Linked DNA regions of Rattus norvegicus. The protein of the gene in region 2 interacts with the protein of the main gene of each other region in a pairwise test. Links are inferred from orthologs where the notes say so. Each region holds a gene or a part of one and is shown on either strand. Other genes may lie near its edges. The genes, in order: Trim9, Vasp, Zyx and Abi2.

What was found.
Region 1: the proteins of Vasp (region 2) and Trim9 interact in binary tests that used the Homo sapiens proteins (3 or more experiments, as listed by UniProt). The two-hybrid records come from large-scale screens. The link is inferred for Rattus norvegicus from reciprocal best matches to the Homo sapiens genes VASP and TRIM9.
Region 3: the proteins of Vasp (region 2) and Zyx interact in binary tests that used the Homo sapiens proteins (3 or more experiments, as listed by UniProt). The link is inferred for Rattus norvegicus from reciprocal best matches to the Homo sapiens genes VASP and ZYX.
Region 4: the proteins of Vasp (region 2) and Abi2 interact in binary tests that used the Homo sapiens proteins (3 or more experiments, as listed by UniProt). The link is inferred for Rattus norvegicus from reciprocal best matches to the Homo sapiens genes VASP and ABI2.

What each region holds. Positions count from the first base shown.
Region 1 is NC_086024.1:94,498,127-94,503,004, reverse strand, and holds part of Trim9 (E3 ubiquitin-protein ligase TRIM9), read left to right. Parts: intron 1-2,261; coding exon of another isoform or gene 2,262-2,303; intron 2,304-2,702; coding exon of another isoform or gene 2,703-2,726; intron 2,727-3,502; coding exon 3,503-3,806; intron 3,807-4,878. UniProt on the Homo sapiens protein: E3 ubiquitin-protein ligase which ubiquitinates itself in cooperation with an E2 enzyme UBE2D2/UBC4 and serves as a targeting signal for proteasomal degradation.
Region 2 is NC_086019.1:88,049,805-88,055,323, forward strand, and holds the start of Vasp (vasodilator-stimulated phosphoprotein), read right to left. Parts: upstream 3,152-5,519; 5' UTR 2,974-3,151; coding exon 2,969-2,973; intron 2,667-2,968; exon of another isoform or gene 2,650-2,666; coding exon of another isoform or gene 2,642-2,649; intron 1-2,641. UniProt on the Homo sapiens protein: Ena/VASP proteins are actin-associated proteins involved in a range of processes dependent on cytoskeleton remodeling and cell polarity such as axon guidance, lamellipodial and filopodial dynamics, platelet activation and cell migration.
Region 3 is NC_086022.1:72,202,696-72,208,176, reverse strand, and holds the start of Zyx (zyxin), read right to left. Parts: upstream 3,678-5,481; intron 3,545-3,677; exon of another isoform or gene 3,542-3,544; coding exon of another isoform or gene 3,530-3,541; coding exon 3,322-3,529; intron 2,856-3,321; coding exon 2,653-2,855; intron 2,509-2,652; coding exon 2,416-2,508; intron 2,306-2,415; coding exon 1,811-2,305; intron 1-1,810. UniProt on the Homo sapiens protein: Adhesion plaque protein. Binds alpha-actinin and the CRP protein. Important for targeting TES and ENA/VASP family members to focal adhesions and for the formation of actin-rich structures.
Region 4 is NC_086027.1:69,319,445-69,324,922, reverse strand, and holds the start of Abi2 (abl interactor 2), read right to left. Parts: upstream 3,719-5,478; 5' UTR 3,543-3,718; coding exon 3,426-3,542; intron 1-3,425. UniProt on the Homo sapiens protein: Regulator of actin cytoskeleton dynamics underlying cell motility and adhesion. Functions as a component of the WAVE complex, which activates actin nucleating machinery Arp2/3 to drive lamellipodia formation.

The DNA.
Region 1 (4,878 bases), on a different chromosome or scaffold from region 2:
TTGGCCTCCGCTGGTACCACCATGGAAAGCTGGCTCTTCATCACAAGCAGCAGCATAGCACGGCACAGGGACCAGCTAAGTAGAGGCTATGGCAGTAGTGTGGAGGTTTATAACCTTCTGTATCCAGGAGACCAGCTGTGTCTGGGACACTGGATCAGTGCATCCAGCCTGGAGTGGTCTGATTAAACATAGACTCAAGAGATCTTTACCAATAAAAATACAAAACTAAAAGCAAAAGCATGCCTGACAGCAGAATTCATCCTTCAGAGCAGGAAAAGCAAAAGCCCGCAGTGCATGTACTGATAGAACTGCAGGCTTACAGCAGATCACTTTCCCAGCAAAGGGCGGGGACCACTGGTAGCCAAATTAGAAACCATTCAGTCGTGATACGTATAGCCAACGATACTATAGTCAAAATATGCGGCCCCAGGAAAAATATGCGGTTGCTCACAGCCAAGATGTAACAGGGCTTATGGTTGACTCCTGGGAAGCTAGACTCATGTTACTTTGCAGTAAGCTTTGTCTAGCAAACAGAATCTTCGAATTCCTAAAATGCAGACCTGTTGGATCTCTTCAGGGCTATATTGTAATCATGGACACACGATGCACATCTCACGTTTCCGAGCGTTTCTTTTGGGTTTTATTTTATTCCTTTGGCTCATCCCACATCCCGGAATGAAGAAGGCCACAGCATGTCAGTGCAAAAAGGATGCGGGGACTTCAAGCTCCCTTGAAAAGTGACATTTTTTTTCCTTGTGTTTTCCGTTTCTTCTTGTTTCTCTGTGCACTCCTGGCTTCTCCACATGCTTTGTTATGGAGCCCTCTGCTTGTCTCTAATGTATGGAAATGCTGTTACAGTCTTTGTAATGTATATTGTCTCGAGAATAAAATGAAATGGAATGTGGGGTCTGGGTGTTGGCAGGTGTATTGAATAGCCTGGTTCTAGTTGTATCATTGAATCTTAAATGTACGATGTTGTGTTAAAATTAATGGGAAAAGAGTTCAGAATGTTTGTTTTGTTTTTTTTTTAAAGACTCCAAAAGGCATGATTCATTTTTAAAAAAATCTTGAAAGCCCTATTCAGATTCCACAAATTTACTTCCAAACCTGAATATGGAATTTGGTTTTAAAATTTTTTACATTCCATACTTACTGGGCCCCTATTATTCATACAGAGGAAGCAAAAAGACACTTGGCAGAAATTAAACATAAAATCAACCATGAGCTGGAAGAAAGTGGATGGATCCCAGGATAAAGAAAGCTAAGCAAGAAGGTAGTGCTAACGGTTAAGTCTGTTAACTCGGCCCTCTCCTATAGCAAGTTACCTTCTTAACTCTCGTAAAACCCTACCAAGTCAGTACCTTGTCCTTTCTATGGTTTTAGAAATGAACTTGTAAAGACAATATTAAATTTGGAAACAAAACAAAACAACATGATTCTTTTCCCCCAAAGACTCACATTTCCTGGAGCAGTCCCAGCATGACTCAGAAATTGTAGGCCATGCACCTGAGGACACTCTGAGTCCGAATCATTCTCCTCTGCCTTGATCCAGTGTCTCATCAGAAGGGTGGCCAGCTTTACTGGGAAGAGGAGAGTAGAAAAAGCCTCCCCAAGTTGACTCCTGAGCTCCAAGCCCATATTCTACCCCTACACCAGCCTTCCTCCCCATCCCTCAGGTGAGAATAGGTGCTGTAGCCAAGCAAGTTAAGAAGGAAAGTAAATATCTTCCTTTTTCTAACACTCAGGCCATGCCACTGTTGACTGTGAGGTGTCTTTTCCTAGGTTCCACTCTTCTTCCTCTGTGGACCATTTGCCTTAGGCTCATTCCAACAAACCAAGGGCACATCAGTAAACTGTTGGCACAGAGCAGGCCTATCCCTCCCTGGTGATTTCTTCCACTTCTATTGGGCAAGTTTGTCCTCATCTTTAGAAGAGTTGATCTCCTCAGCTTGCAAGTGTTACTGCACAGAGTTAAGCCAGGAAGAAAATAAAACGCAAGCCGCAGCATTTACAGTCCACAGGACAAAGCTTCTGTCAATATGTGAAAGGACGACCTTTGTGTTTGGAAAGAATGCAAAAGCAATTTATATCCAGAAAAGAAAATGAGCATTTAAAAGGGCTTTGGTTTTGTTTTGTTTTTCTTTTTTCATGAATCAGGCCTTTGGAGACTATATTCGGTTGGTGCTTTCTAAACAAATGCAAATAATATTTATTGACCGGGTTGTCACTTCATAGCCTTGATGTTTAGTATCTTTTTATAGGCTGCAATTTTGAGACACAATCTGCATCTTACTCTCAATTAGGCAAGTATACCTACTGTAATTGTTACCTTCTGCCTATGTGACCGTGATGTTCAATTTCCTTTGCAAAATAAATGGTGGCTTTTGTCATGTCAATAAAATTCTCCAAACGTCATTCTAACTCCATTATAACCGTTTTCAATTTCTTAGAAAAATGCCCGTCTTTTTTTTTTTTTTAACGTATGCCTCAACCCCATCCCCTTTCCTTCTGCATCAGTGCAAACCACTCTTTCTGAGCGGTACATGTCAGTAGAGGCCCAAGCAGGCCTGCTGGTGTTGTGTATGCAATGTTCTCAATGGAGTCCTTGCGGGTATTGTCTATCAAGAGAAACAAGCTTTCTTATCAATGTCAACTGTGCTTCCTATTTCTCTCCCCCATGCCTTTCACCGGAATGACAACAGTTGACATTAAAAAGCTGTTGGCAGGTATGGAACACCATTATTCTCTTACAAAAAGCAGAGCTGAAGTGCATGTGCAGTGACTGCGGGCTCAGTAGTCCATCCGCACTCTCACCCCTCAGAGAACAAAGGACTATCCACTGTAGGAAATATGCAGAAGTTGGGGGACAGCACCCAGTGTCCAATCTGCTTCTGCAATGTATATTACGTGCCAGCTTTAGGAGTAACACTTTTCCATAAATTATAAGAGAAGCAACCCGCCCTACATCCAGGTCACCGCTGCACAAGAAAACTAGTTTATGTTGCTTTGTAGCCTCAAGGCTTGCGAGCAGGTACGAGAGCTGACGAAGTTTCCAACACTTCTGCCTAAGGGTATTTCCTGGTTTCACTCAGTGTGTTCTATCCCTCCTCTGTCTAGGATTGTAGATCTAGCCTCCCCACCCCAGGGTTCCACAGGCGTCCTAGTACACCCCTCACCCTTTATGTCTCTGGTGCACTATCCTGCCAGTCACCAGGTGAAGGGACTTGATGGCACTTCAGTCCCGGATCAGCTGGTTTGGAAGTGCAGTCTGAGCCAGGTAACCTCTGCTGGATCGGTCGTGTGTCCTCTGTCTGTTCCTGGTGCAGAGTATCAACTCCCAGGACGTGCCCCCCCCCATCTGCTTACTTACGGTGACTCTGGCCCCAGATCCTTCCTTCCTGCATGGCAGCATGAGAACGCGACACTGTGTGCCACAGTGCCCGGAGGCATTCTGCAGTGCCAAGGCATTACTAATAACTCACTCCCCGTCTGTCGTCCCCAGTGGCGTGGTTTGCGTTTGACCCCGGCTCGGCACACTCTGACATCATCTTCTCCAATGACAACCTGACAGTGACATGCAGTAGCTACGATGACCGGGTGGTGCTGGGGAAAACTGGCTTCTCCAAGGGCGTCCACTACTGGGAGCTGACCATAGATCGCTATGACAACCACCCTGATCCAGCATTTGGCGTGGCTCGCATCGATGTGATGAAGGATATGATGTTAGGAAAGGACGACAAGGCTTGGGCAATGTATGTGGACAATAACCGGAGCTGGTTCATGCACAACAACTCGCACACCAACAGGTACCCTGCAGCCCCACGCCAAGCCTTCTTCATGGTGGCTTGGGTTGAAGAGGAAGAGCCTAGTCGATAGCCTATTATAGAGACAGCATTAGGAAACAGAGCAGATGATCTCTACTGAGTAGGAGGTCCTGTAGTCTCTTAGCTCAGTCCATTCTACTGTTTTCCACAATGCATAAAGATAGAGTTGTTCTCCTCCCGCTTGGCCCTTCATTGTTAAATTCCACTCAGGTCACAAAAGACATCCCTGGGCCTGTCTTTTATAGACAAACCACCCAAGATTGGAAAACCCAGACCTAGGACTTAACCACAAAAGTGTTTGGGGCCAAGGTACTTCAATTTTTTTTTCTGAATTCTGGTTTGTCAATTCTCCAAATTCATATAATAATATGTTTCCATGCAGGAGAGGTCTGAAGACTACATGAGATGAGATTTGCAAAAATGTCTCCCGTTGGAAGTGCCTGGAAATGGAAGCCATTCTTGTTACTATCATTATCAGCAATACCGCTTCTCAGAATAGAAGCCATTAACTAAACTTGGTGTTAGAGATGCCAGTCCGGAGAGCTCTAAATGAGAAGGATTTGCTTGTTAGTGTGAGAATTAGAGCACCCAGTCTGCTGAAGGGAGAATAGTATCTCCTTAAGCAATGCCCTCTATCAACAAGATATTGACAATTTTAATTCAATATACCCTATAATCTCCCTTTCAATTTGTGGTCTCTTCAGTGGATTTCACTCATCATTTCTGGAGCCAAAGGTGTCTTTTGATGACACTGGTCTGTCTTAATCACCCTCAGGATACATTTCTCTTTGGTGTCTCTGGAAAAAAATTAGTTATGTTCAGTGAAATCAGAGGGAAAGCAGGCCCAGCAAGGGCAGAATAATGACCTCACTCTCTCAGCCTCTCCTGTCAGATCACCACTGATGCTTTGCTAACCAGTAGACTCCTAGAGCTTCCCGGTCCTCGGACATTCTCTGTCCTGTTCCATTCGGTCTGTCTTAGTGGCTATCCCTTGAACTGAGCACCCAAAGCAATTTATCTTGGTATCGAATCCAAGTGGCTACAGAGAGCAATT
Region 2 (5,519 bases):
AACTCCACCTGGGCAGCTGGAGGGAACTAAGAGGGAGGAAGCCTCTGGGGACAGAGGTGGCCAAATACTGGCAGTTCCCTCTACTGCTACCCACCCCCAGCCTTACCCCACCATCTCCTTGCACCATTAAACTCGTGACACACACACACACACAGACACAGACACAGACACAGACACAGACACACACACACACACACACACACACACACACCATGAACTCTTAAGTCTCTGAAGCAGAATAGTCCGGGGTGGCCTAGAATGCAGCCCAGACTGGCCTCCAACTTGCCAAGTAGCAGAAGATGACCTTATTGGGTGGGTGGGTGGAGGAATGGTAATGGTAAGTAAAAAACATAGACAGCTCTAGTTTTTTCTTTTTGTAATATTACTAGACTTAGACAATCCTAGGTACAAATTCAAACCTTACCACCGCTAAATTGATTTTTATACATTTTTGAAACTGGGACTCAATAACCCAAGCTGGCCTCCAGCTCCTGGTCCTCCTGCATTCACCTCCTAAGTACTGCGTTACAGGCATGAGTCACCACATCATACTCCCAAACCATTAAACTTTAACAGGCCATTTCCTTAACATTGCTGAGCCTCAGTTTTACTACCTGTAAAGTGGGGGTAAGACCAGGGGCACAAGTTTGTACTTTCATTGCCCTTAACTGCCGTGGAGATGAAAATGGAAAGAAGATGTGTGACTGAACCCGCTACATCACTTAAAAGGGAAAGAAAATAACAACCGCAGCTAGCGTTATTGCAAGAGGAAAGGAGTGAAGCTTTCAGAATTCTGCCCAAGAGCCCTCAGACCTCTGACCCCTTCTCTGCCTTTTCCCAGCTCCCGGATGCAGCAGACACTCGGCAAATATTTGTCAAACTGGGAGAAAAAGAACTGTATCTTGTAATTTTCCATCTCAATCACCACCTCCCTTCCCACTCCCCACAGGGCTGTCCCCAGTCAAACCAGTCCTGCCCCCTTCCCCACCACAGCATAAGAACCTCTGAGGGCACTGGACCCAAGCTTCAAAGTCTGGGGGGGTGGGGCTCAGTTTACCCAGCAAGGAATAAGGAATGGGTCTGTCTGTCTCTGTGTCTCTCTGAATCCTAGCTGTCCTTGGAGAAGTGACACAGCCAAGCAAGTGACCAAGGACGAGGGAGACCCTCTCCTAAGAGGGTGGGGGCTCGTTCAGTTCAAGTTGTGCCTACCCTTCAGTTCAAGTTGTGCCTACCCTCAGGGGAGGGAGGTCTGGCCCTGGCCACAGCCAGAGGGGGACGGGCTGCAGAAGGACGGGGACTGGGGGTGGGGGTGTAAGGGGCCGGCCTAGACGTTGCTCCTGCCCTTTTACGGTCTCAGCGAGTGAGGCGGCACTAACTCGGACATCCGCCATCCGCCTTCCACCGGGCCTGGGACCGGAAACGGGTGGGGGAGGGGCGGGGCTGGGGGCAGCAAGAGAGGAGGGGGGTAGTGGAGGAACTGACCCCCTTTAGGGGGACAGAGCTCCCACGGGGGAGGAAAGGCCAGGCAGGAAGTCTCCAGGGTGTCTCGATGTCCCCCTTCTAGCTCCAGACGCTAACACTCCCACATGCCAAGGGACAAACTTGGGAGGGAGGGAAAGAGGGAGGGGTCCTAGCTCAGGGCCCTAGAGAAGAATGTCACCTAGATGTCAGAGGGCAAGACTGAAGGATGTGCACATGGGGGGTTAAGCCCAAACTGTCCCCAGGAGACTCCTCCTCTAACCAGGGGCTTTGGGGCAGGAAGTCCCAGCCAAAGTGGAGGAAGGGAGATAGTATTGTCAAGATGTGGCCCCAAGGGAGAGATTATGGGGGGGCTGGGGCTGAGAGGAGGGGAGGCCTCTACCAGCCCAGGCCCCACCCTCAGGTGAGCCCAGGAGTTCAGGGCAGGTCCCAGAGAAGACATTAAAAAAAAAAAAAATCTCTGAGTCCCCCTCACCCACAGGATTAAATTCCTGGGAAGAGAGCTGAAAGAAGCGGGTAAGCCTGGGTCCCTGAGGGAGAAGGCTATGACCTTGACGCTTTCCAGCGCCCCCTCCTCCAATCCCACGGCTTGGGGAAGGGGGGTGACACCCGGCGACATTGAGCCCAAGGGGAGGGGCCGTGGTGTGGGGAAAAGCAGCTGGCCACAGTGCTCACTCGGGGGCCCGCCCCCCACACCAGCTGTCTCGACAGGTGAGTCAGGAAGACAAAGGCCCCCCCTCCCCCAGCTGCCGCGCCCCCTCCCTCACAGGCCACCAGGTTAGGGGGTGGGGGTGGAACTAGAACCGTCCTCTGGCCCGGGGGCCAGGAGCCGCCCTGGGCCTGGAGTGCTCCCGGGTCCTAGGACCCACCCAACCTGGGTGCCTAAGGGGAGAAGAGTCCCATCCAGACCCTCTGGGCCCCGTGGGTCAGAGTCTCAAGAACCCCTCCACCAGAGAACCTCCGTGTCCACCAAATTTTGGGACATCAAGAAGTACCCCCAAAGTTAAGGACCGCGGTTCCACTCTGGGACTCTCATCCAGTGCCCCAGACGCAAGGGTCCGAAGACCACAACCCGAGACTCAGAGTTTCAGGGCTCGGGTTCTCAAGCCAGCCTCCCACCTGGTTTTGAGTTTGGGGGCAGTAACTCTGAGCCCACTTATACCAGTTCATCCCTGCGACGTTCTACTTATCTGCGAACTCGGAGGTGCTCCCCCCAAAAGTCTTCAAATTCTGAGTCCCGAGAGCGCCCCTAAACCTGAAAGCCATCAAGAGAACCTCAGCCGGCACCGCCCCAAGCCTTTAGGGAGTAGTGTGGAGAAACGGGGTGTCGATATTTAGAGATCGCTCCAAGAGACATCGGCCCAGATCTGGGACGCTCAAAGCGCTGTGTCCCCTAAATCCAGCCCCGAACGAGCTGGGGGGAGGGGGACAAAGGCGGGGCGCGAAGCCGGGTCCCGGCTGGGACCCGGCTGGAGGGTTCGGGGCTCACCTCATGGCTGCGCAGAGGGCAGGCGGCGCGCCCACGGGGAGTGCTCCCGGGGCGCCCCTGATTGGAAGTGCAGGGGTGCGGGGCTGGCTCCAGGTTCTGCTCAGTCTCTCTCGGGGTCCCGCCCCATAGAGTCCAGCTTCCTGGGGAGAACGTGGACCGGGCCCGGGCGGGTGCTCAGGCGCCTCCTCCCTCCGGTGCTCTGATGTGCTGGGATCCCCTGCGATGGAAAGCGGGGTGCAGCGTCCGAACCTCGCCGGCGCACCCCCTCAGCCGGCAGCACCTACGCGGTTACTCTTACTACTGTACTCTCTTTGCTACATTTCGTTCCAAAATTCCACTCCCCATACCCACAATGCCCTGCGCCTTAAAGGGGCCGTGGACGCCTCCAGGCGGGGGATGGAGACCGTTTAAAAGGCAACGCGGAACCTAGGTCTTCCGCAATTGCACTCCTTCCTCTCAGTCTTGTGGCGTGGGGGTGCACCCTGGGCCTCACTCCCGAGTTGGAGGGGGAAGCTTGTTGGAAGGGAAGGGGCCATTCTTTGATCTCTAGCTGTCTCTACTATGGAATTCTTTAGTAGAGATCTGGGGGTGCCAGTTCTCCATTCCAACTCGCTCGGTGGACTTCTGTTCAGTTTTTATGGAGGGCGGGGGTTCTTCTGGTTAAGCAAAGGATCTCATTAATTTCCACCTTTAAGTAACACTTCCGTACATCCTCTGTTCCCCAGATCTCTCTTCTCAGGTCGGGCCCCACCCCTCGCCGCCCCCCACCCTCCGGGGAAGGTGTGGAGGAAGTGAGCGAGGGGGTGCGACGGGCCGCTGACTCACCGCCGCCGGGTCGCGGCTGGGGTGGGGGCGGGGGTGAAGAAGGTGGAGGATAGACTAGGAGTGAAGGGTTGGAGGTGGGACCCCGATCTGCTTCCCACGCGTGCCCAGCTATGGCTTAGTTTTGCCCACAGAGGATAGTAGGATCGTCCCAAGAATCCCGCAGGCTCAGAGGCTCGAAGACCCTCCCTGGAGCCCCTTCCACGCAAACACGTCGGGGCAGAGTCAGCCCAACCTCCCTCCAAGCCTTCCGCAGTGGGACCCATAGGCCCCGCCCAGAGTTACATCATCATGCGGACACGCCCCTCCCGTAGAGCTCCACCTGGCAGGGTAAAAGGCGTTAACTCTCAGAAAACATCAGTTCCTGACTTACAGATGGAGAAACTAAGGCACAGAGACAGGGAATGGGTTTAGCTTATGATCGTCTTGTTTGGGTCCCCCCCCCCAAACTTACGGAGAATCAATCCACGTGGCCTTTGGCCAGTCTGTTTCCTGGATGGTATGCTGGCTCCCTGTTGGCCTTGCAAAAACCTCATCCTTCAGGCCAAACACTTAATTCTGCACTGAAAAATCTAGTACACTAGTTGTCCTGCCACAAACCCGGAGGCTGAGGCAGGAGGATCTCGAGTTTGAGGCCAGCCTAGGCTACAGGGTGACTTTAATGTCATCTTATATATTTAAGAACACAAATAGAAATGGGTCAGCAGTTAAAAAAAAATACTTGCTACTTTTGCAGAGGACCTAAGTTCAATTCCCAACACTCACAGGGCTAACAACTGCCTGAAATTATAGCATTATGTTCATACGCGCATGCCCACCACCTCCACACACTTATATAGCTGAAAATAATACAAGTAAATTTTTTTTTAAAAATTAAAACCACAAATGGGCCAGATGTGGCAGCGTAACAATAAAAACAGCAAAACAAAACCACACACAAATCCATCGAAGACAGTGGTTTCTGAACCTTCCTAATACTGCGACCCTTTAATACAGGTCCTCATGTTGTGGTGAACCTCCCAACCATAAAACTATTCTCATCGCCACTTCATAACTGTAACCCTGCTACTGTTATGAATCGTGATGTAAATATCTGTAGTTTCCGATGGTCTTAGGTGACCCCCGTGGACGGGTCCTCTGATCCCCTGAGAAGTCACGATCTGCAGGTTGAAAACCTCTGGCCTGGGCTGTAATTCCTCGAGCCCCTCCAGGGTCTGAGTGCACTGGAACAAGACTGGAACAAGCTCAGATTTGTATCGGCTTTTGGGTTCTCAACAAGGCCAAGCTAGAACAACAGTTATCCAACTAAAGGAGAGCCACGTTGCGTGTGCTCTTGGCCTCAAAGTTTTCCTCTGTTTGCCCATCTGTGAAACGGGAAGAGTGAAACTCTATACTGCCTTCTCTAAGGCAAAAGCTAGCAAATTTCTTTCCTATAAAAGTCTCCTTTAGCAGGGCTGGAGAGACTCAGACTGTGAAGTGCCTGTTCTATGATCATTAGGACTGGGTATGGAGTCCCCAGTATCCACATGAAAGTACATCTCTTAACATCAGCAGCACTGGAGGCAGCAGGACATGGCTGATTGCTGCACCTCACTGGCTAGAACAATCAAGGAAGATATTCCTGAAGCCAGCCTCTAATCTCCACATACCTGTGCACACAGGGCATCTGTACCCCATGCACATGTGTACATAACTGTGCACATATGGAATCCCATCGGAGATACTTTAA
Region 3 (5,481 bases), on a different chromosome or scaffold from region 2:
ATCTAAGTCATGCTCCCTAAACCTACATGAAGTTCCCAAGGTCACATCATCCACTTCTAAGAATCCCGTCCTGGGATCTTCCTCCATTCTCTCTGCACAGCACAAAGTGGCCCAAGGTCCCTGAGGCTCTTAACTTCTTGGAATTCTTGGAAGACTTGTCAGCTACCTCTAACTTGAGGCCTGCCCTTGTGTTACAGTCCCACATTAGCTGAATGACAGTTCCAGCTGAAGGCAAGTGCTCCTGAAGCCTGTTGCTCAACACAATGACATCTAGACCCCTCCTCTTCCCGTTCAAACCATTTCCCCATCTGCACTTCTCTATTTTGTCAGTAATATTGTTACTCCTCAACATACCCAGCTCTGAGCCTCCCTGGCATTTGTGTTCGCCCACCCCAGCTGCTCTCAGTTGCAGCCTCCTGTAGGCCCTTCCATTGGAACAGCTCTCATCCATGGATCTTATTTCTCACTGCAACTAATACTACTGTGGCCCAGGAGTGAACTCACCTGCATCCCAGATCTCCCTACCTCTAATATGCACCTCGGCTGGAAAAGCTTTGCAGTATTACTTTTCACCAGTCCTCCTGGCCAAACCACACACAACTGAGACACCATCAGTGATTCTCCAATGCGCACAAGCTCCCTACTGGAGATTTTGTTCTCTAGTGCTTCTGCCACAAATCTCCACCCATCTCAAGCACAGCTCAAAGTCTGTCTGCTAGGAGCCTTGTGCTTTCTGTTCTCCAAATAGCCCTCCTGTGTTATCCGTACCCTGGAATTCTCCACAAGCTCTATCCACCTAATCCTCTTCTCAATCCCTTCTGGATTCTCAAGTCCTCAAGTACCTGAAGGCAGACCAACCTCGTGAAGCTGTTCCTAAGTTGCCAGCCCCCATGCTGGGTCATAGTTTCAAATCCCTGTAACTCAGATTCTGAGCTATCAGAATCCAGCTACACTTATTCCTACACTGTGTCTGAGTACATCCAGACGTTTACAGTTACCAGTCAGATACCCAGAAAGTCCCTTCAACTCAGAAGATCTCTTTCTCTGAACTAACAGGCAACAACTGTACTGTCTGTTTCTATTTTGAGCTCTTATGTGCTAGACTAAGAAGATAAGCTGACTTGCACTTCACCGTTGTTTGGTATGGGTAGCTATTTCAAAGACGGGTGTGTGGTGTGTGTGTGTGTGTGTGTGTGTGTGTGTGTGTGTGTGTGTGTGTGTGTTCAAAGTTCACCCAATTTTACTAGGGTCTAACAACTTGTGAGAAACAGGCTAGAAATTCTACCCTGAACCTGTGACTTCAGAAGACTGAACCTGTTGGAGAGATCTCTCCAGCCCATAGACCCAGCCTCCAGAGCACAGAGCAGTGCCTGGCACTCAGCTGATGCTGGCCCAGCAAGTGTTTCCTGGTGCTGACTATACTTTTATCTCTAGATGGGCCCTCAGGCAATGAAGTGCTCAGAAAACCCAGGAGCCTAGGGATTTAGTCAAGGCCCAAGAATGGGAAAAACTAAGGTTGGGCTAATGATCTCATTCTCCTCTCTAACATTCTAGGGCAGAGGCACAGGGGAAACGTTGTATCCTCTTACTTCTAAACCCCAGCTGCTGTACCGATTGACCCAGGCCCCAGCTAGTCCCAGACTTCCTCCAGAAGAACTTTCTCTCTGCCAGGACAGATAACCCTACACTTCCCCCATCACCACACCCACTCTGGCTCCTCTAGTTCTCTACCCCACCCTCACCCTCTTGCCCTCTTTTTTCTGCAGTCCTATTTCATCCAGCCCCTGGCCTCAGCCTGTGGCTTCCTCACCTGGTTTTGGTTTTGAGCTGGTGGAGGCAGTGGGTGCTGCTTCTCTTGAACTAGGGGCTTCTCCTTCTGCTGAGCATAGGTGAAGCTAGGGGGCTGGGGGGAGCCTGTGCCCACAGAAGAAGGAGCTTCCAGAGGCACCGATTTTTGACTGGGCTGTGGCCCAGGTCCACTTGGAGCACCAGGGCTGAATTTGGAAGCCACGGGAGTAAATTTAGGTGCCACTGGAGCAAACTTAGGTGCTGGAGTTGGAGCCTGAGAAAGGGGACCTCGGGGCTGTGTATTAGCGGAAGACACAGACTGGGGTTGGACATGGGGCTTGGCCTGAGGCTGGGCATGGAGCTGGACCTGAGGCTTGGCCTGCGGCTGAGGTGGTGGCTGAGAGCTAGAAGGGGCCTTCCAAGGAGGTAAGGGTGCTGTGCCCACAGGGGCAGGCTTGGTACTAGGTTTGGGAACAAATGGAGTAGCAACTGGTGGAGGTACATATCCAGATGACACCTGCAAGGAGAAGCAGAAGGGGGGGGATGTACTTAGAGGAGGTGGACATCTCTTCCTGTATCCCCTCCTCTCCTTCTAGGCCCAGACTTTCCTACTGTCCTGCCCCTTACCCGGGCTTTGAAGGGATCGTTCTTGGTCATGTCATCCAGCAGTGAGGACAGAGAGTCGATCTCCAGGTCAATACTGCTCACTTTCTCCCTGGGCTGGAGGGTCAGGGGTCAGAGCACCCATCCCAGTCTTCCCTTGTCGTCCCACTCCCATCGGGAGAGAGTTAAAGACTCCTCTCCAGCTCATGGAGGCGTCCCCCACCCCATCTCCAGCAAAGCTGCCCTCCAAGCCCTCCCTACCTGCGGTGGGAGCTGGGTAGGGGCCTCAGGTCCTCCCTCCTCCTCCAGTGGAGGTGGAGGGGAGGGGAAGATGTCCTCCTCCAGAGGAGCAGGGGGGAATGGTTCTTCGATCAACGGGGGAGGTGGAGGTGGGAAGGCACCTCCCAGGGCCCCCTCTGAGTCGTCGCCCTCCCCAATAACGGGAGGAGGGGGCAAAGGAAAGTCTGGGTAGGAAGGAGAGAGAAGGCTATCAGTACCGGCCCTCGTTCCTTCTCTCAGCCTACTGTTTTAACCCCCTAATCCAAGAACTCTTTTTCTGCATCCCAAGAGCGTGTGCAGACCATAACAGGGGCTCAGGATGCCCTGGGCGAAGCAGGTCGAGTGAGAACGGGCTAGGTTGAAGAACCGTGCAGCTCCCGTTACACTTCAGAGAACGGATCCAGAGGGGAAGATTCCTGGCCCACATTCCCGCCTCCTACCCCCAGGCGGGAGTCTTGGAACAGTCCCAAGGGTTCTGGCTCCTAGCCAGGAGCTCCAAGATGAGGTAAGAACATCTGCTCAGGACAGGGTAGCCACCCAGAGCCCAGCCCCCTCCACAACAGCCTTTCCAGACAACCCCAAATTCCCCAAACCACCGACCCCCAACCTGGCGCCCGAGAAGAATCGGGGCCCCCAATCCCAGCCGCATACCTTCCGGGGGCGGTGGGGGGATCTCGCCCACCCGGCCCATCTGTGCTCTCTGGGCCCCGGCTGCCACAGGAGACTCGCTGTCCCCAGGCCGGAAAGGATTCACTTTGGGCTTCGGGGCCACAACCGGGGCGAACTTCTTCTGCGGGGCGTAAAACGCGGGGGCCGAGACCGAGACGGAGATCGCGGGAGGCGGGCGGGGGGCCGCCATAGTCAGGCCGGGCTGCTGGGGGTGGGTCGTCAGGTTACGCAGAGCGGTGCCGGGCTGACACTCCTCGGTCCAAGAGCCCCTCGGTGACCCCACCCTCGCCTCCCCGCGTCCCCTTCCCGGGACTGCGGAGCTTCTCCCCGCGCCTCACCGCGGGCAGGAGCGTGAGAGCCGCGTCTCGGATGACCGCCTCGGCGCCGAGTCCACGGACTCTGCGTCCCGGTCCGGAGCAGCTTCTAGCCAAGCGGGGAGGGACGACGCGCAAGGGAAGGGAGGGAGGGGGCGGGGAGAGAGCGGCGCCCAGACCATACAAGGAGCGGCCCGGAGAGGGGGCGGGGAGAGGCCGGGGAGGGAGGGCCGGGCAGGAAACTCCCCCAGGAAGGGGCCCGGGTCCTGCCCTGGGCCGCAGGCTCTGCAAAGGTCCGCCTGCGGCCTCCCTACGCATCACCGCCCCCGCCGGGCACAGACCACCCTTCCCCAGCACAGGCCTCTGATGTCATTTCCTGACCTGCCACCTACCCCCCTCCCCCCTCCCGACCCGCGAGTGCTGGAGAACTGACTCACCGTCCGCACTCCGGGGCTGTGCAGGCCGGCGAGTATCCCAGAGGTCCCGAAGCTGCTCAGTCCCGCTTCCCGGGCCTGCCTGCCATTGACTGACCCCGCCCCTCCCTGCAGCTTCAGCTCCGCGTCCCACGTGTCCTGTGGTCAGTCCCGGAACGTAGGACTGAGATGGGACCCTACTCGTGGGTGGGCGGGGATGGTGAGGGGACGTTCGCTCTGCTGGCACCCGGCTCCTAGGCCGGCCTTCTGTAACGCAGTAGTGTGTGAGTAGGAGCCTAAGCGCTCTAGGGGAATGCTAACTTCCTGAGCTAAACTGCCTCTTAAGGCTTCTAGGAATTCGCTTAGAGCTAGACCCGCCTGCAAATTTGTTGCCCCGGGGAGAGTGTCCAGTGCTTTGAGTCCAGGAATGAAGGTACAAGGGCGAAGTCAGGGTGAGCGGTCTAACAACCTAGAAAGACCCAAATAGCCTCCGGGGACCAGTCCTTGAGGATCTCTTCAAGCCTTTCCCAGCCCCTCAAGAGTATTTGGGTTGTCAGCGGCCCCCAGGACAAAGCTCGGTGGAGCCCCCCACTGGTCCAACCGGATTCCTCAGCCTGAGACTGTGCCCCAGGCTACATGAAAGAAGTCTGACAAAGCTGATGTCTGCTTTTCTTACTGTCTTAATCTTCCTTTTCTTTTCCTTCCCTTCTTTTTTTTCTTTTTCTTTTCTTTTTGTAAAATTATACACGGAAACTTCGTCCAAATTATAGAGTTACGCGTTAGAGTCTCTAGTCCAATATCCAACCCTCCGGTGCTTCCTTTGGTTTTACCGTCATCCCTGGCTGAGGTTCTCACTGTCTTCTGAGTTTCCAAACCTTGGCGCTCCCCATCTATTGCACCCTACGGTCCAGAAACCTTGAACTGTGCTTTAGGGGCATGCAAACTAACCCCAGGAACTTAGGATGAGAAACTGGGTATGTTATTTGAAAAGATGGCCCCGGGGGCGCACTTAGGTCCGAGTTAATTAACCCCTTTGGCAGAGATGCAGTACAGAGTGAGGCCAGGGAGCCCAGTTTCCAACCCAACGGACACGTTTCTTCATTCGGTTTCATTGCCTCGACTGTAAAAGGGATGGCATCTAATTCATTTGCCTGCTTCCTTATGTGAAGGAATAAACAGCATGCCATGTCTGAAAATTCTATATAGTTCACAGAATTACCTCCATGCAAGTCCCAAGCTGGAAAAGAACGGAAATTTCCAGCCAGTTAACCTAGGCAGCTTTCCCTCACATGCTCCCTTCCAGTTTGCCAGACAAGTTTAATGTGTCTTGGTTGATTCAATGCCCTTTTCCTTCCGTCAACCTTATGTCTTGAGTCATATCTATGACTGTGCATTCATCATCGTTCCAGGCCCCA
Region 4 (5,478 bases), on a different chromosome or scaffold from region 2:
AGCTAAGAATAGCCAACACCTGCATTTAGTCCCCAAAAGCAGGAAGAACACAAGTTCAAGTCAGGCACAGACAACACAGGGAACATAGTCTCGAGGAACAAACAACAAAATCATCTTTAAAAGTATTAGCGAACAAACTATAGTCATAATTTTTGTCATCACACTTTAGAAAAGCAATTTGCCTATGTTTCCCAGAAGTTTATAAAACTCTTAAGACTTTATTGACCATCATAACATTTAAAATTCCAATATTAACTTCACTGTATCCTAGAAAGTAAATATTTACATTTATGTACATTTCTCTATCTGGAGTATCTCTGAGTTCCTTTCCTTTTGCTCAAATCTCACACTAATTATAATTAACAATTAGTGTATATTTATTTACTTAGTTTATTTCCTAAACAAAAAAAACAGATACTTAACACTTAATAACAACAATTATATGCCATCAACATATATTATTTTTTGCCTTAAAAGTTCCATTTCAGCTGCTTGTTGGTGGCCACCCCTTTAATGCCAGCACTCAAGAGGCAGAGGCAAGGGTACTCTCTTTGAGTTCAGGACCAGCATGGTCTACAGAGCTAGTTTCAGGACAACCAAGACTATACAGAGAAATCCTGTCTCAATCTCCTCCCGCTCCCAAAAAAAGTTACAGTTCCATACAATAAAATCCTGTTGGTTTAGTTGACTACTTCTAGAAACTAAGACACAACAACACCATAAAAAGATTAATTGACCATTTGCTCAGTGATCCTGCCAATTAACTTTCATGTATTACAGGGTCACAGACAGCATCAGGACCCTTGCTGGTCAGTCCTTCCATCACAAGAACCAGCCAAATGTACAGCTGGCACTGCACAAATCAACTATCACCAGTTTTATTTATCAATGTACTACAAACAAATCATGTAAGAAATATCATCCTGAGAAAGTACTGCAGTAATAAATCCAGTGACTCCCACAACGGAGGACGACCTAAGAAATAATAATATGTAAACTCTACCTCACATACTGAATTTAAAATAACAGATGGCTTAAAATTCAAAATCCATTTCTAAAAAATAAGTATTTGTAATTTTACAGTGGGTTAGGAACATAATTCAGTGGTAGCCTGTATTCTCAGCATGCACAAAACAGCCCCCAACACCAAAATTGAAAACGTATAAATAACACACGAGCTTTGTTACTCTTTAGGCTAGAATTATAAATGCTAAGACAAAAGTGATCTCTTCCACCTCTCCACTTTATCCATTCATGTACTTTCCCTTTATGTGGCATTATAATCTCAAATTATGGTAACATTCATCTTTCAAAAACCTTTTTCTTATTAGTTGGCCACAATTGCAATCTAATCACTTTTCCATTCCCCAATTTCTCTTCTGACAGACAAGACTTTCTCATAATATGCTATGCAAGGCATCAGAATAAGCCCTTTGGGTCGTTTAGGTTTTGCCTCTCCTAGCAGCTGTGACTCCCTGAAAATAATAAGCATCACCTTTCTGCGCACAATTCCCTACCAAGTATAAATTAACTATTCTTGTTCCTCAGTATACAATAGGGATTAGTTCTAGGACACACTTCTGCTCCACCCCAATCCCCACTCCAACCCCATCTTTGGATGGTGAAGTCCTTTACATATAATGGCATAATATTTACATTCAATCTATTACACATCCTCCCCATAGTTCAAATCTATACATTACTTACACTATCTAATAAAATGTAAATGCCATGTTAAGTAGTTGTTACACTTTGGGAATGACAAGAAAAAGAAAGACTATTTCTTTCTCCAACAAGAAGGGCTGATAGCACATCATCGTATTACTATGGATTCACTCACAGATCTGTCTCTTGAACTATATCATAAACCCCTTAAGAGTTTAGGGGTGTACCACCACCGACAGTTCTGGGCCAAAGAAGACTGGAAATCAAGCGATAAAACTTTTGAATACTTCCTACATAGCTCTGTATTAGTAAATGATCTGACAGACATTTGTGAGGGACTGTGGTCTATCTTTGACCAAAGACACACACCCTTTCTACTGAACACACACTTTCCACCACTTCTTTAAGGGGAGAAGATTCAATTATGTCTGATTCACTCTCAATACAAATGTTTACAACACTGGAAAGGGGGCCACATTTGAAATATAAATACATAAAATATCTAATAAAAATGCAAAAAAAACCTCCAAATGCTTACAACATAATAGAACTCAGTACATTTATAACCAAATAAAATCTAAGCACATTTTCTTTAACAACATGGTCCTCAAAAATCTTAAGAACCTATAAATTCCAGCATCTGGTTCTTTTTTTTTTTTATTCATAGTAAGATTTGAGAATGTTTTCCAATACAACTGTTGTTAAGAAGACCTGCAGAGACGGAGGTAGGAACAAGAACATTAAAATATGGGTAATCGTTTAACACCATGCTTACATTCCACTTTATCCAAAGAATTTAAATGGGAGTGGGGAAAAAAAATGTAGGCACAACCTGTAATTCAGTATAAGCCCTACAGAAAACGAGATACTAGATTTGCAAACCATGAGTTAATTTTTAAAGTGTTGTTTTAATCCACAAAATTTTTACATTTATCCCATGACCAGCTGGTTCTCATCTCACCAATGCCCCGCCCCCCTCCTCACCTTCCTACACACACACACACACACACACACACACACACACACACACACACACACAGAGGAGTCCCTGTGCCAAACCAACCATCATGGGGAAAAAAACCTAAACCATGTGGTTCGTTTCCCTGATTCTTTATGGAAATAGTCATAGTTCTTTTTCCCAAAGGAAAATCACCTATTCTAACGGGAACTGGGAAGGAAAAGCAGCTCATTATCAGTTTCCCACAGGGAAGAAAAAAAAAATGGTATTAACTTGCAATAAGAGACAGCCTTTCCACCATGTCCCCTTTACAACCTAAGTTTAAACTTAAGGGTTAAGAATTTTTGTTTTGTCTTCAGGGTACATTCGCAGGAATGGAGAAGTGAGGCATTTCAGTTTGCAGGAATAGGACCCCTTCAAAAAAGATCCCTCGGAATTTGTGTGATCCACACAAGCCTGCCATCCAGCAAGATTCCGTTATACAGAAAATGCCACTCTCCACCTCCCCCGCCATCCGGAACACTGACAGGAGAGGACAGCGGGGGCGACGGGGCAGAGGCGAGGGGGCGGGACGCCACGCACCGCACCGCACGGCACCGCACCGCACTGGGGACTCGCACGGGGCTGCTGGGGCCTTCTGCGGACCCCGTTTCCTCCAGCCGCCGCCGCCCTCGCCCCGTCTCCACCCCGGCGCCGCTCCCGGGACCTAGTACCGCGCGGCCTCCTCAGCCCGCCGTCACCCCGCGCGCCCCTCACACCCCACGTCCTATCGCGCCGCGCCGCGCGAGGGGCCGCGTCGCACCTGGATGTAGTTGTTCTCGCAGTAGTCGGCCACCCGCTCCAGATTCGTGTAGCTGTCGAAGAGAGCCCGGCGGCCCCCCGGGATTTCCTCTTCCAGCAGCATCTGCAGCTCCGCCATCTTCACATCCTCCTCTTCCTCCTCCTCCTCCTCCTACTCCTCCTCATACAGCCCGCAGAGGCAGCGGCCGCGACGCCCGGGAGAGGAGGAGCAGCGGCGAACGCGGCGGGAATCGGGAGGAGCGAGCTGCACCCCCCACGGCGCGCGACAGGGGAGGGGGCGGCGGGAACGGAGGCGGGGCGCGAGCCGACAGGCCGCGAGGACGGTCACCGCGGCGACGGGCGAACGGACGGGCGCGCGCACGCGCGCTCCCCTCCCTCCGCCCCCGAGCGCCCGAAAAAGATTCCCACCCGCGCCGCCCCTCCCCCACTTCCGGCGTCTCCTAGCGACGGGAGGGCGGGGGCCGGGATGCGCGCGGGAGCGGGGCTCCCGGTTAACCCTTCGGCCCCGCGCGGCCTTCCAGGCTCTGGGAGTCCTCAGTAGCCTTTGTTAGCCGGGCGGGAATGGGCCGCCGCTCCCTGCTGCTTCCCGCTGCCCACTGCTGCTTCCCGCCGCCGCCCCCCATCTTCACCTCTGCGCTGCACCCGGGGCGGGAACCCTGTGGAGGTCATCTGCCTAAGGAAGCTTTCCAGGCCCCTGTGGAGGCCTAGGGAGAGGACACAGCCCCTTCACAAGCTCTGTGAAATATAACACCTCATCAGAACAGGCAGAGCCACTGAACTTCCAAGCAGCTCTAAATGCCACCTTGGACCTCATCGTCTTCTTTACAAATTACTGTTACCTAATCCCAAACCAATTCATTCATTCATTCATTCCCTTCCTCCCCCTGTCCCCACTTCTTGGCATGATCTCCAGTGTAGACTGAGCTGGCTAGAATTACAGCTACAAGTTGTAGTTGCCCAGCCTGGGCCTCCTTCTCACTTGACTTTTTTCAAAATTTCGATGGTAGCTTTGCTGGTACTAATTTCTTTATTCACATGGTTGTCGCATGAATAAAATTAAAAAACACACATTGACAAATGTGCGTTTTTCAGATTAAGTACTACAAAAATTCAAGGTAGTTCATTCTGATCTTGTAATCTGTATATCTAATCTTTTTTCATAAATATGATTGCCCCACAATTGTGGAGTAAACCCTGTGTTGTTACATTAGCTTTATGATAAATACATTACCAGTGTGTGTGAGCTTTTGTAGCAGAGCCTAAAACAGTATTTTTAAATGATGATATGGTCCAGCTGGATCTATTGTTGACCACTTTAGACACCTGTCTTAGCGTGAATGTTCTAAGTGTGAGAAGCTTGTGAAAAACAAAAGGGAGAGCTGGAGGGGAAAGAAGAGAAACCTAAAGAGTATATAGGGAGATAGTTATGTATAGGGCACATACACTTAGTTCAGGAAATGAAAGTACAAACAGCTGAAGAAAACAAACTCCAAACTTCAGATCAGACTCTTAGACAAACTTCAGTAGATCAAAAACCTGTGTTGGGCTGGAGAAATGGCTCAGTAGTTAAGAGCATGAACTGCTCTTCCAGAGGACCAGAGTTTGGTTCCTAACATCCCTGTCATACTGTTCACAATAGCCCTTAACCCTAGCTCCAGGAGATCCAACACCCTGCTCTGGCATCCACTGGTGGACTCATGTGGCATATTCTCACATAGAAACACACACATAAATAAAAAAAAAACTTTTAAAGAATTTTTTAAAGATTTATTTATGTAATGTATATAAGTACACTGTTGGTATCCTCAGACACACCAGAAGAGGGTGTGGGATTGCAGTACAGATGGTTGTGAGCCACCATGTGGTTGCTGGGATTTGAACTCAAGACCTCTGGAAGAGCAGTCAGTGCTCTTAACCGCTGAGCCATCTCTCCAGCCCCTTAAAGAATTTTTTAATGTTAAAAAAAAAACCGGGGTTGGGGATTTAGCTCAGTGGTAGAGCACTTGCCTAGGAAGCACAAGGCCCTGGGTTCGGTCCCCAGCTCCGGAAAAAAA